Drosophila melanogaster: one gene and its partner. The protein of the gene in region 2 interacts with the protein of the main gene of each other region in a pairwise test. Each region holds a gene or a part of one and is shown on either strand. Other genes may lie near its edges.

Region 1 (4,789 bases), on a different chromosome or scaffold from region 2:
ACGAAATGCCTGCTCTACTTTTAAAGCGTTGTTTTGTGCTATACCCTCTTTTTCAGGGTGACCACGCATTTCAAGGTTTAATGTAGGGGGAGGGTTTGATTTAGGGACAGTGTTTGATTTAGGGAAAGTGTTTTCTACCGACTCGCCCTTAATTTTTTCATTTTTATTTTTAATTTTTTCTAACACCATCATTATTAAATCATACTGCTTCGCGTTAAAATATTCATGATCGACAACGCCGATCTTTAACAAATTGCTATGATTAGCAATGAAACATTTTTGAAGCTCATTTAATTTTAGAATTTCTACATCTGTTAATGTTGGTTTTACTTCCAACTTTCTAATTTCCAAAATAATTTCGGACTGCTTCTTAAGGAATTGAATAGTCTTTTCTGACATCATTTTGAAAATTTTTTGTAATTTCTTAATATATATAGTACGTGTATATGTATTTTATATGTATTTATATATATATGTGTGTTTGGATAAACAGAAAATTCTTGTTTTGACTTAGCTGATGTCGTTGTTGTTGCTGCTGCTGTTGCTGCTGTTGTTGCTGCTGTTGCTACTGCTGTTGCTGCTTCTGCTGCTGCTGTTGTTGCTGCTTCTGCTGCTGGTAGAGGCTCCTTTGAATTTGACTTCCTTCTCTTCTTTAAGGCTCCGTCGATGTTTAAAGATGATTTTTTTTTTTTTTGGCACGTTTTATTATTTTTGTAGTCCAGTCAGATTTTTTGTTTTTTAGCCATTTATTTCGGCATTTATGCTCTTTTGGCATATACACTGCACTCTATTTATGAGCTGATTTAATGCTATTAGAGCATTTATAAGGCACTGTTTTCAGGCACTTTTTATTTAATTTATGCTCTTATGGCATATACACTGCACTCTATTTATGAGCTGATTTAATGCTATTAGAGCATTTATAAGGCACTTTTGTTATGCACTTTTTAATTTCACAATTGCTGATGTATGGCCTCAAGCACGCCTTACCACAATTTATAATGGTACACAAAGCAACCTTTAGCTATAGACTATAAGGTGCTTGTTTTAAAACATAAAAGATTCTTTTGTATCTTTTGCTTTTTATATTTATACTCTGTTCCTTACCTTTGGTAGGGGGAAACAAGAGTCACTTATTTTTGCTACCTTTAGCTGTAAGATGCTTAAAGGAGCTGGCCTTTCTCTGAGTTCCTTACCTTTGGTAGGGGGAAACTGCAGAGTCGATTAAAGGCTCGATTGACCAAATGTAAAATCCCAAATAAGAAGACTTTACTCGTTGAGTTTTTGTAAGAAACTTGATTTTATTTGGAAATATCTTCGGTTTAAATAGGTGACATGAGAATCGCATCTTAAAGTAAATGGCCTACGCAGAGGCCTACGTAAATAGTCCCCGCCTTATCGAGGTCCCACGCTCGGGCACATCTGCCTATCTTGAGCGGCGAGGACCTTATCTGTGGTCTCCCACTAAGGGACTATTTTAGGAGGCGGGGAACGATCTCAAGTGACTGACTCATGTAGTGTGCACTTAAATTACATGTTTTTGAGCAATGCACCCATGTCGCCTTAGATAACAAAATCCTAAATATAATTTATCGCTCTCGATTCATTTACATAAGATATGAACGGAGCCCAAAATTGTAAGTCTTTAAATATATTCGTGTTCATGTGTGAACAGGCACACAGCAAAAAAAACGTAACATTTGATTTACATTTAGGATGATTATGCAAATCATTCAGCTTACAAAACAACAGATTGATTTGTATCAGCTCCAATCAAATTTGCGTTCATTAGCCACTTGCTATTATTAAAATACACTGATTTAAGGACTAAATCCTACTACCCTAAGTAATGTAAAATTCTGAAATATATTTCCTATTTTATGACATTTGTAATACCACTCCAAGTCTAAAATGTAAATTTCATTTGTTGCTATTAATCATAGTTAACAAGAGGACTGGAAGAATTTACTTTAATTTAAAATAAGGGATAATAATGGCCATTTTCAGTGCTTCCCTTCCCTGTGAGACTCTACATATGTACATACATATGTATGTATGTACGTATAGTATGTATCCTTTTTGACTGATAGCGATAGCATAACTTTTTCGGTTAGTCTCCGAGGTGCATTCACACATGGCTGCATTTCAGTTGCTGAAGTAGAGCGGCTTAGAAGGTGTTTTTCCGGGAATTGCAAGGGATGTCGGTTGGGAGGGGATTGGGTTCTCCGGCGACTTTGAACAGAGGGTTAGCTGCATCCAGACTCCGGCAGTCATAATGCAATTATGCACTGCCTGGCGGCACAGCTCCTTTGGTACGAGTAATAAGCATTTGCATTTTCACAGAATGTAGAACACAAGTCGCTGAAGAAGTTGCGCTTTGTAGGTTTCCATCGCTCCGAATAGCCCGGCATTGAAACCCCTTTGTAACCCCTTTCCTGGCTCATCAGCCGGAATGGACCTATGGCCATGTGCGCGGGGTTGAGGGGTGAGTTTCATGCTCATAATTTGTGCACTTTATTAATAAAGTTTTCCAAATTGGCTTGGCCCAGACGCAGTGCAAATACACAAAGCGAGGAGGAGAATGAATATACAAAAAAAGTGTATAACAATTGTAAAACAATATGGCTCTAAGAACTTGTGTAAAACATAACATTTTTTTTAGTCACATACATAAACAGAAACGCGGGCCTATATTTTCAACTGATAGTGGAAGTTTTCAGAGCCTTTAAGATGACAAATCTATTCAGTCATGTTATTTTCCCTTCGATTTCAATTTGCTTTAAGATTCTACCCTCGAATTTCTCTTTTCCCTTTGACCATTAATATCGAGCTTGCCTTTCTAAGCTTACGGGGTTCAAGAAACGAAGTTTTTAGTTTGCTGGGGAAAGTGTTTATTTAAGTAACTGGGAAAGTGGCGAGGAGGTGTGTGTCCCCCTCCAGAAATATCCCAGTTCTAGTTGTTCTGCCCGCTTTGTCCTTGTCCACTCTGCTGGTTGCCGTTTCCATTGCCATTTGGCGGTCTTGGCGGCTGTCCCTGCGAATGTCCATTTTGGCCCTGGGCGGCCACCTGCAGCGGCATTTGTGCCTGGAAAACCTCTGGTTAGGCCAAGTGGATGATTGAAAACCCTTCAACTCTTACCAAACCCACAGCCAGAATTAGAAGGAAGATGCTGAACAATGCGAACTGCTTCATGTTGAATTTGAAACTAGTAAACTAACAACACATGTGGTCTTTTATAGTCATACAGCACAACTGCGGTTCCCAAGAGATTATAATCCAGTGCAATTAACCATCGCAGTGAACAAAATGGCAAAATCAGTTTGTATGTTAATAATGCCATTCTGTATTATTTTGCTCGCTCGAATCTGATTTATAATGTCGTAATTGCGTGTGACCCGATCTGATCGCATATACAATATATTAAAACGACAAAATAACTCCAAAGGGGAGCCATCATTTTGCTGTTTAATTGGAAAAACAAATTTGAAAAAATTAGCCAGAATATCTCTCAAATGTCACTAAGGTCATCATATCATAGCTATAATTAACTAAAAATGTATAGATTGAGCTCTAAATTTAATAACATTTTGGACACGCCAAAACAAATACGTTTTGCGAAAAATTAACTTGGATGGTAAGAATTTATAAGTCAACATATAGCGATCTGATTCACACTCTGACTTCAAAAGCTATATTGATTATAAAATATTTGGGCGTTTTATCTTTGATAACATCAGAGCGTCATAAGCAGTTACTGAAAAATAACCACTAGGTGGAGCTCGTGTGCACTCACGGAAGCAGTCGGAGTAACAGGTATCTGATATTCGATACTTTTGACACTGTCTCTGGTTTTTTGTATCTTGTCTTGGTAAACTATTTTCCTAAAATATTCCAAGTGGCATATTAAATTTCCTTAGCCTCGCACTTTACGAAGCTTTCGAAATCAATTCATTTAGGCACTATTACATTTTCATAAAGTTTGTCTAGGCAGAGTAAACCGTCAATTATTCAAACTGGATTTCCTATTGCTGCTCGGTCTTTTAATTTGAGCGTATGCTCAAACAATCCAACACACCAGCCACCCATATGCCACCATTCTTTGACTGACACTACACGTTTTGAAAGAGATTCGCACACCACCCACCATCCACCTGCCATCCAACTGCCACCGCCCATTCACTTGCCCCTCGCCATCACCTTGGGGGCATGGTCGGGCAAAGCAATTTCGCTCGGCATTTTCGAGCGTTGAGTGGCAAAATGTCTTCGGTTTCAGCTTGAGATTAAATTCTGCCGAACGTTGGCCAAACAGAAACAAGACTTTCTAGTTTACACAACAACGATGGGTCCCGCCCGCCGATTCACCTGTCACCACCTATGGGCACATCGATGTTTGCAGACTGAAGGAAGTGCATATAGTTGAATTATTTAGTTACAATTGATACAAGTATAGGTAATTTCTAATGTTAAGTTGGGAGGCATTCTTGAAATTAATCTTCTAAGAACTCTATTACAATAATTTTGAAAAATTAAAATAAACTATAAGAAACATACATATGCGTATGATAGTAACAACAATGCAAGCAGTTGCAGAAATAATTTTTAAAAATATTATAAACGACTTTGTGCAGATTTCTTACTGTGTACTTGTGTGGGTTTTTTTCGGTTAATAAATGTCCCTGCCACAGCGAAATATGAATATTGAATATGCCCATAGTCGCGAACTGAGCGGCTGAATAAACCGCAAGCGAGTGGCGAACCCATAACGCCTTATAACCATTTCGGCACTTT
Region 2 (8,355 bases):
GAAAAAGGGGAAGCCGTTGAGCCAACTTGAACTGCAAGTTGGGCAGGTCATTAAGGCTTCATTGGACGCCGCCCCATTGATTATTACCTTTGGCAGTTTCCGGGGCCACGACCACGCCCCCCTATCACTGCACCAATCCCATCCGCCCACTTTGCCCGGGGCACTTTTTTGGCATTTTATCTTGTCATATTTTCTGCAACTTTCAAGTGACCAGGCACGAAAATAATGCAAAAGTTATTTTAAGCCAAGGCACTGCGATGCCTTTCGCATTTCGCATTTCGCTTTTCAATTGCCCAAGAAGTTTCCACACAAATTATGCCACTGGTCGCAAGAAGCGCAGCAGGAGCCGGAGCAGGACTCCTTCGCAGAATGTGCTGATGGAAAAAAGTAATGGCCATATCCATGGAGCTCCAGTTACAGTTGCAGCTGCATCTGCAAAGTTTTTGTCATCCGCTTGTCATGTGCGGACTATTGCGTACGAGTGCGAATCTGAGGTGTTAATTGGAAGCGAGGCAAACACTTTTCCAGACGACGTCGGCCCGAAAACTAAACAACTTTGAAAAAGTTCACTTAGGTCTAAGGATGGAGAATTTATAGTTCTGCTCAAAGTTGAACGAAGTTTTTTTTTGCTGTCACTTAACATTTAGATTGTTTTTTCAGCTAAAAGTGCCATAAAAAGTGCTCGGCAAGACGGTCTACTGAATGTGTATCCCCAGTAATTTATATCAGTTATTCAACTATTCATTATTTACAGGCGAACGTTAGGTGCTTTTTCAATATGTTTAAACGGAAAATTGCGCTCGCTGATGACAGAAGTCCTTATTCTCCTTATTCCGTGCTCTTCCACGCCAAGGAGCCCGGAGTTCCTGCTGTCTGAAGTCTGAAACTCTTTCTGCGTCTGGGGCGTACTTATATATCAAATCACTTTTCCCGTACTCAGAACACATTTATTTTATTTATGTTTACTTAAGCGTACCACCTTTTAACTATGCCAGCCGGCATCCTTGCCGCGTCCTGAATCCTGATGCCGACTTGCAACTCCACATGCAGCGCGCATTCGGAAAATAATTTCTTTGCGTGGAAGAAGATTGCATTCCGTTGTCACGCACTTCCTGCCAAGAGATGAACTCACGCCCCAGCGATTCGCATCGAATTTAGTGCTCATACATCGCAAATCAGTGGAAACTGGCACTTTCTTGGCTCCGGGCTGGTAAACTATATAAAAATGGTAGAGAAATGAGGTCACAAAGCGCCATTCAGCGCCATGCTGGTAAATAAAAGAGCCAGAGACAAATTGAAAAAAAAAACCCCCGTTGCAGCTCGGCAAATAAGCAGCCAAAGTCTGACAGGTGGTCAAAGGTTAAGTGCGGGAGGGGCGACTAAGTGCAGTTTTAGTAATTAGCTGTGGCGCAAGTGCAAGTGCCTGCAAATCCTTCAGATTTAGCCAAAGTATTCAAGCCTCCAAAGTGGGCCAACACAGCTGCGAAACGCACCAGCGCCAATTGAAATGGCGTCGAAAGGGTTTTCGTGACGGTTAACATTCTACCATTCATTTGGCAATCATTATGCTGAGTCACAGTCTAGCTGGCATTTATAAATGTCGCACACTGCGTATACGTAATGAACTGACTTGCACACACACACACACAGGCGCATGAGGCGAATGCGCAATGCACTGCATTTATCAATAGACGAGTGCATGTTTGTGTGCCAAGCGTATATCATGTTGGCTTTAGTTAACAGAAATGTCACCGTTTCACTCACAAGCAGAAGCGACAGGTGAAATGTGGATGGGGCAGGTGGATGGTAGGGCTGTGCCATTCAAGGTTGAGCTTGAGGAATTGCCCCAAACGCTGCATTTAAATGGAATTTATTTAATATAAACGAGTGCCTGCACATGCGAGCATTAGTGCTGCCTGCAGCGGTGCGCAAACTTATTTAAATATGACTTCCACAGTCAAATCAGAGTCAGACGCGAAATGGAAACGGGCATCGGAATCGGAATCGGAATCTGAATCAGAATCAGTGGTGCACTCCGAATGTGAAAGCGAATAGCAAATGCGAAATGAATGCACAGGAAATGAGCCCCGGTTAATGCATATTCATGGGAACATACTTTGCCGAGAGCCGCGGGCTTTTGCCACTCGTGTTAGTTGTATGATTGCGGGCATTTGGGCGCAACTAAACTGGCTCATTATTCGTGTGAAAATGCCACAATTGCGATGGCCCAAAGGGAAGTTCTCCCCAATTCTCCCAAAAAGTTGTACAATGGACTGGTGCGAAAACCCGCATTTGAACAGATGCAAAACAATTGCTGCTCTGGGAGTTTCAAAAATACTAGCTACTCGGCTGTGGGCGAAAAACCAGCAAGGGCCACCTGCCAAAACAGAGGAGCGTAAACAAAAAGCTCGGCCAACGAAAGTGGTCCACACACATGGCCAGCAGGGCACAGCCTTGCATATTTCCAGAAATCAGAAGGAATGTGTAGGAAATGCCTGCCTTTGAGTTTGAGCCGGGACGGTAGATGCACTGGACTGTCAATCGCAGACACTCTGTCGTCAATATGCGGAAATATTACGTATACGCCCCTGTGTCCCCCGCCCGCCTTCGCCATCTTGTGCAAGATGTGATTGTGCGGTTCACTTAAAATCGAAATGCCTCAATCAGCTCCTGCCAGTTGAGAGAAAAAGCTGTGATTCTGCCAGGATATCTCGACGGCGAAACAAAAACTTTGCATAAACAAACTATGAATACTCGTATATGTGCTGAAGTGCATATGTGCATATCTGAGCACGCATTGTGCACTTGGCTGTCGGAGCCACTTCGCTTGGCTGGCCAACAAAGCGTTGGCATGGAGCTGTTCCACTGGATGTCTCTGTCTTCAGCATCCTTTTTGCCGTCCTGTCTGCGGGTTGTGTGCACACTGATCCGGGGAGCTGGTTGCATAAAGGCAAGAATTTCCGTAACAAATACTTTCGTTCCGCATTTTTCGAATTTCCCCATGACGACGCGGTGCAATTAAACATATCACTCACCTTCGATGGCGCTTGGCGCGGTGCTTCCATGGGCACGAGGGGGCACCTGTGGCTTGTCGCCAAGGAGGTGCTCCTTTTCCGGCTCCAGGATGCTGGCGGTCACCGTTTCGCTGGCTCGACGCAGCATATGCAATGGAGTCAAGTTCGCATCACGATCGCGTTCGAAATCTTGCTGGCAGGAGGACATTTGATACGAGTCCTCGAAGGGATTGCTGCTGCGAAAGGCTTGCAAGGGTGGACCCTCACTGCCTGCCACTACATCCAATATATCTAAAAAAAAATATATATATATATATAAATTAATTTGTATGATATTAAAATTAAAATCGCTTTATATTCATACTTTTTTCCCACAAAAAAAATTGACTCAAGCTATTTGGTAACATTTTTAATTACGCATGATAGATAAAGCCGAAGGGTTGCTAATCAAACAAAAAATATTGATAATTCCATTCTACCATTCTTATTTTCCAGTCCCAAGTATATAAATAAAAGAGTTAATTTCCCAACAATTTGACTTGTGGAAGCCCGAACATATTTGCACACGATTTATTTATTGGCACTTGGGCAAAAAGTGGCATTTAATTGATTAACCATAAACTCGTAAATTAACGCCGAAAGTGAGTATCGAAAGCTGCCAGAATCGCTTACCGGAATCGCTGCTCATGTCGAATGTCGGCGAAATCCAGAGAACAAAACAAAACTGAGTGATTGAGTGAAAAAAACGCGGAAAATAATGCCAAAGAGCGACAACTGCTGACGCAATCAGTACGATGACGTAGTCCAAATGGCTATTCTTGGCTCAAAATTGACGAGTGCCAAAGAGAAACGCCGCGGTTTGAAGAGATTGGTTAGCTGCGAATCGAGTGGATATATAGTATATAGTATAGTATATGCAGGGAACGGAACACGCGCGACACGACCGGCGGAAAGGCGGAATGAAATAGTGTAGTAGCCCCGGAACTTGAGCACTTGGAGCTTCTTTTTATTACAGCTCATGCACTGGCAAATATTTGCCAAACGCATTAATTAGAAAAGCAAAAGCCATTTAAACAAGCAATTGCCGATTCGCGCAGCTCCAGCGAGCGCTCTTCGATTAAAACTAATTGGCAAACAAACAAGCTCTGCGGAAGGCGAACCTTCTGTTTTCATTGCTGTCGAGCGAAAAGTGCGGAATGAGTTGGTTTCTGGGTTGGGTGAAATGAGGGGTGGGGGTGGGGTCTGTTTGGAAGCACTTACATATTTATAAGGGGTTCGTTTATCTGCGATTCAATATGCCCATAGTTTTCTAAGGCGCAGCCAATTAGCTGATAAATAATTGTCATGTAATCATAATTTATCTGAACTAGATAAGGCGCCGAATAGCCGCGTTATTAATAGACCTCTAATCATAGCGCATTTCCCATGTGTGAGTGTCGGAATGATTAAACGCTTTCACTTTTTTTTAGGGAAATGTGCGCGACCTGCCCCATTTGAGCTCTATCATTGGGGCGGCAATTCTGTGCCATAGATGGCGCTTTAGTTTGCCAGCTGCGTTTACATGGTATTAAAAAAAAAACTACCTTATATTGTTTTTATTATTAATTATTAATTTTTGTGAGCTTGGAAAGCAATTATATTTCCTTGAAGTAAAAAGAGTTTCGCTTGTCTTGCAAATTGTTTTTCTGACAATTTGCATTTTGACGTTGCTCATCATATTGGGCGCCGTGGCCACTCCCACGCCGTGGCTGTAATTTAATTGCTTCGCTGGAATATTTTTAATTTACCTGATGGACAAACCAGCCCCATGACAAAGATAACCAATCGCAGTGACGTCACCACCATTATCCAGTGCTCCAGTCAGATCATCTCCTCATCAGGTGCCACACGTTGTTGCGCAAAAAAAGTGTCGTTTGCGAAAATATTTAATTTATTTTAACTATGCACACACACTTTTTTGCACTGTATGGAGTTGCAGTTGCACTCTCACTCTATAAGATGGCCATTATGACGACGATGATGATGACTATGATGATGGCTCAAAAAAAACAGGACATTGTGAGGTGCGGGGCGCTGCAAAAAGGATAATACAACTTTCTCGCTCTATTTGCCACGCACACACATGTTGTTACAGTGCCGTGATTTTTGTTGCATCAAATTGGAATTTTTTCCTTAAATATGGTAAACATCGATGGGGCAGAGATTTATGTATAGTGCAGCGGCGCGTTGATGAAAATGACTCGCCGCTGCATTGACCGTGTTTACTGTTTGTCAGACAGGGCAGCAATTTACGCCCACATGCAAAAAACATTAATTTGCATGCAAGTCAATTATCAGGAGGCAGCAAACAGACAGGCGCTAGTTACCAGTTTTCAGTATTCAGTTTTCTGTTTTGAGTTTTCAGTTTTCAGTTTTTCAATTTCTTTTGCACAAACATTGGTGTTATTATTCCGCCATAAGGATGCAAGGACTAATGGAGATACTCTTGAAATGGGTCATGATATTCCAAAAGAATCGCATATGGCGCAGAAAGATTTATTTTGTTTTTCATTAAAGTACCATACAAACCATTAATTTAGCTCGCTACTCTTATAGAGCATCTGCAGGTTGTTGAGCTCAACGTGGACACTCAATGGCGAGGACTTTCAAACTGCCAGGCCAGCACATTTCTAAATGTTTTTATTAATTAAAAATATTGCAAATTAAACACATTTCCAAATTGCGTTTTGCATTTTTCGTATAAATACGCGGTCGATGGAAAAAATGCAAATATAATTTACAAAGCATACATTTCACATTTTATTCTTATTTTATGTTCATTGCATTTTGGTTTGCTCTATCGCCGCTTTCGCAGCCATCAGTTCTTAAACTTGCCTCAAAGCTCTTAAACACGATTACTACCTGCTAATTAGCTTAGAATACCTATGTTTTGGGACCAGTCTTGGGTGCATGATGGGGTCTACCTGCTTTTGATGGTCACCTCGCACTTGGCAGCCAGATTGCGGAGGGTGAGGAACTGGCCGGATGCCCTAATCTCCGGCCAGCTGCACCGGAGCGAGTGAGCAGGTCCCAGGAATCGGTGGCCCGGAGTCTCGATGACAGTCTCGAAAGTGGGTCCATGTGGCAGGTGGTCTAGGTGCCACAGGAAGACGGCGTGCTCATCGCCGCCGCCGATCGCAATGACAGCCAAGAAAAATGTGTGCACTCTGACGTGGCCAAAAGTGGAGGACTCCTCGCTCAGCCGCAGGCAGGCCACGCCCTCCAGGGGCAGCTGGGGGCGGACGTGCAAGCGTTCGCCGAACGTGCCGTAGATTTGCAACACTGCCAGCCGGTGGTCGCCGCTCAAATGTCGCAACAACTGCCATTCCCGCCGACCTATTGACCCCGCCTCCAGTGGCAGCTCCTGATTTACTCCGGCTGCCGGCGCCTGTTTATGGCTCCCCGCTGATAAGGATGCACCTCCCGAGTTCTCAACCACCGCCAGCGCCTGCATCGCGACTGTTGACAATTTGTTGGCCACTGGCTGGCCAAGTTGGTAACTGTGGCTGCTGCATGATTTCCCAGTTGGGCAATGATAATTTTGATACTCGCTCTCGCTGCTTGCTGACTTCTCATGCCCCAGCTGCTGCCGCTCCTGCTGCTGCTGTTGCTCCTGCACCTGGACACCATTATTTATGGTGGCAACTTCATCGCAGCGCAATCCGTCTTGATCTGGCCCAGTAATCCGCCAACTTTTCTTACTCAACTTTAACTTTGGTTTAACGAGCATATTGTTGTGACCTTCCTCCGAAAAGTGCTCGACAGCGGCCTCCTGATGCTGCACTTTTATCAGCGTGCAACGTGGCAGGACAGCCTCCTGCACCGCCTGCTCCTGCTCCTGCCCCTGCTGACTCTTTCTTCTGATTTCCCGAGGACTTTGGTCCACCAAAACTGTTTCGAGTTGCCTGGAGATTTGCTTGCCGCACTTGGACTTGCCGGAACTCGTCTTCGCCAGCGCCATTTTCGGTTGATTATGATATTCATTTGTGCACTTGTTGACGCTGCTCAGCTTTCCATGGCCCTGGGAGGCAGCCACCTTGTTGGTTTTCCCTGAAAAGAGGCACCGAAACGGAGGACCATTACAAAAAGTACGAAATGTAAATATAATAAATACAACTGGGACAACTGGATGGATATGCACGCAAGTTGTCCATTTGCGCTCGTTTGTGTTTTGCCCCCAAATCCCTTGACACAAACTCCCTTGAACTTCTTCAAGTGGCAAATGAAAATAGAGCAGAAACTAAGTAAATATCCGCGTACCTGCATCTGTATAAAAATGGTTGAACTATGGCTGAACTATGGGTGAATCCGGGCGAATCATAAAGAATGCACACTTAATGTAGACGCAATAAAAACGCACTAAGCACGGCATAATCTGGGAAAAAACAAAGCGAAGGACCCTGAAGTGGGTAAAAGTGGCAAAAAATGAAGACCAGCAGGGAAAAACAAATGCAGACAACGGCGGAAAATTCTGTTGCTGCTTGTTACCTCCGCTGTAAACTTCACTCCAAGTTAACTTGGTCGACACAGATTGAAAATGGCAACAAGGGCGGCTAAACTTTAAACGAAGCCGCCCAGTGGCAAAGCAAGAAAAGCAACGCCAACAACAATCTTCCGGCAAGATGGCAACGCAGCTAAGCGCGAAAAACTTTAGCAATTTATGTTACATAATTATGCCATAAAAAGAACAACAAGCGAAGATGAGCCATTGCGCTCAATTTCAAGCACTCTTGACTCGGCTCCGCTTTCTCGTCACATTTTTCTTTCATTTGCGCCGCATCTCGGTCGAGATTTAAGTGAAACATTGACACTTGCCGCTGTCGAAAAGTTATGGCCCACACAAATGAGGATTCCCCGCTCCCAGCCAGGATGTTGCCATTACCGCAGGATGTATTACAGCGGGGCGGGCACAAAGGTTATTTCCACAGGGTTTTGCATTACATGAAATAGAATACCTTTCGGACAAAAGTTCAATCGAACCGAAAGTAATTATAACAAATTGGATCTAAATAATCAAAGTAGTTAAGGCTTTGCTTTAAAAGTACATAATTCGTATTAAATTTCACCTTCGTTATGTATTAATATTATATAAAATCAAGTTATAAACGTTAATTGAAGTGATCAGCAGACTTTGCATCCTATCCCCACCACTCCCATTATGTTTTGCCATTCAAGGACACCCCTAGAAGCGCTCAGAATGCTGGAAAACAACGACATCTGTTGCCTAATGACAGGACCAATTGGGGTATCGCACGGCTTAAATAGATAAAAGTCGCGAATGTGTGTCCTTTAAGAACGACCA

What was found. Proteins that work in one complex are often made in the same cells at the same time.
Region 1: the proteins of Nha2 (region 2) and CG12158 interact in a two-hybrid assay, tested with the Drosophila melanogaster proteins (one large-scale study listed by BioGRID).

The regions. Positions count from the first base shown.
Region 1 is NT_033778.4:9,359,697-9,364,485, forward strand, and holds CG12158 (uncharacterized protein), read right to left. Parts: upstream 3,211-4,789; 5' UTR 3,194-3,210; coding exon 3,140-3,193; intron 3,086-3,139; coding exon 2,954-3,085; 3' UTR 2,878-2,953; downstream 1-2,877.
Region 2 is NT_033777.3:22,994,479-23,002,833, forward strand, and holds the start of Nha2 (Na[+]/H[+] hydrogen antiporter 2), read right to left. Parts: upstream 4,051-8,355; 5' UTR 3,703-4,050; coding exon 3,687-3,702; intron 3,308-3,686; exon of another isoform or gene 3,306-3,307; coding exon 3,036-3,305; exon of another isoform or gene 1,976-3,035; intron 1-1,975. Other genes in the region: CG34375 (uncharacterized protein), read right to left, coding at 5,974-7,103.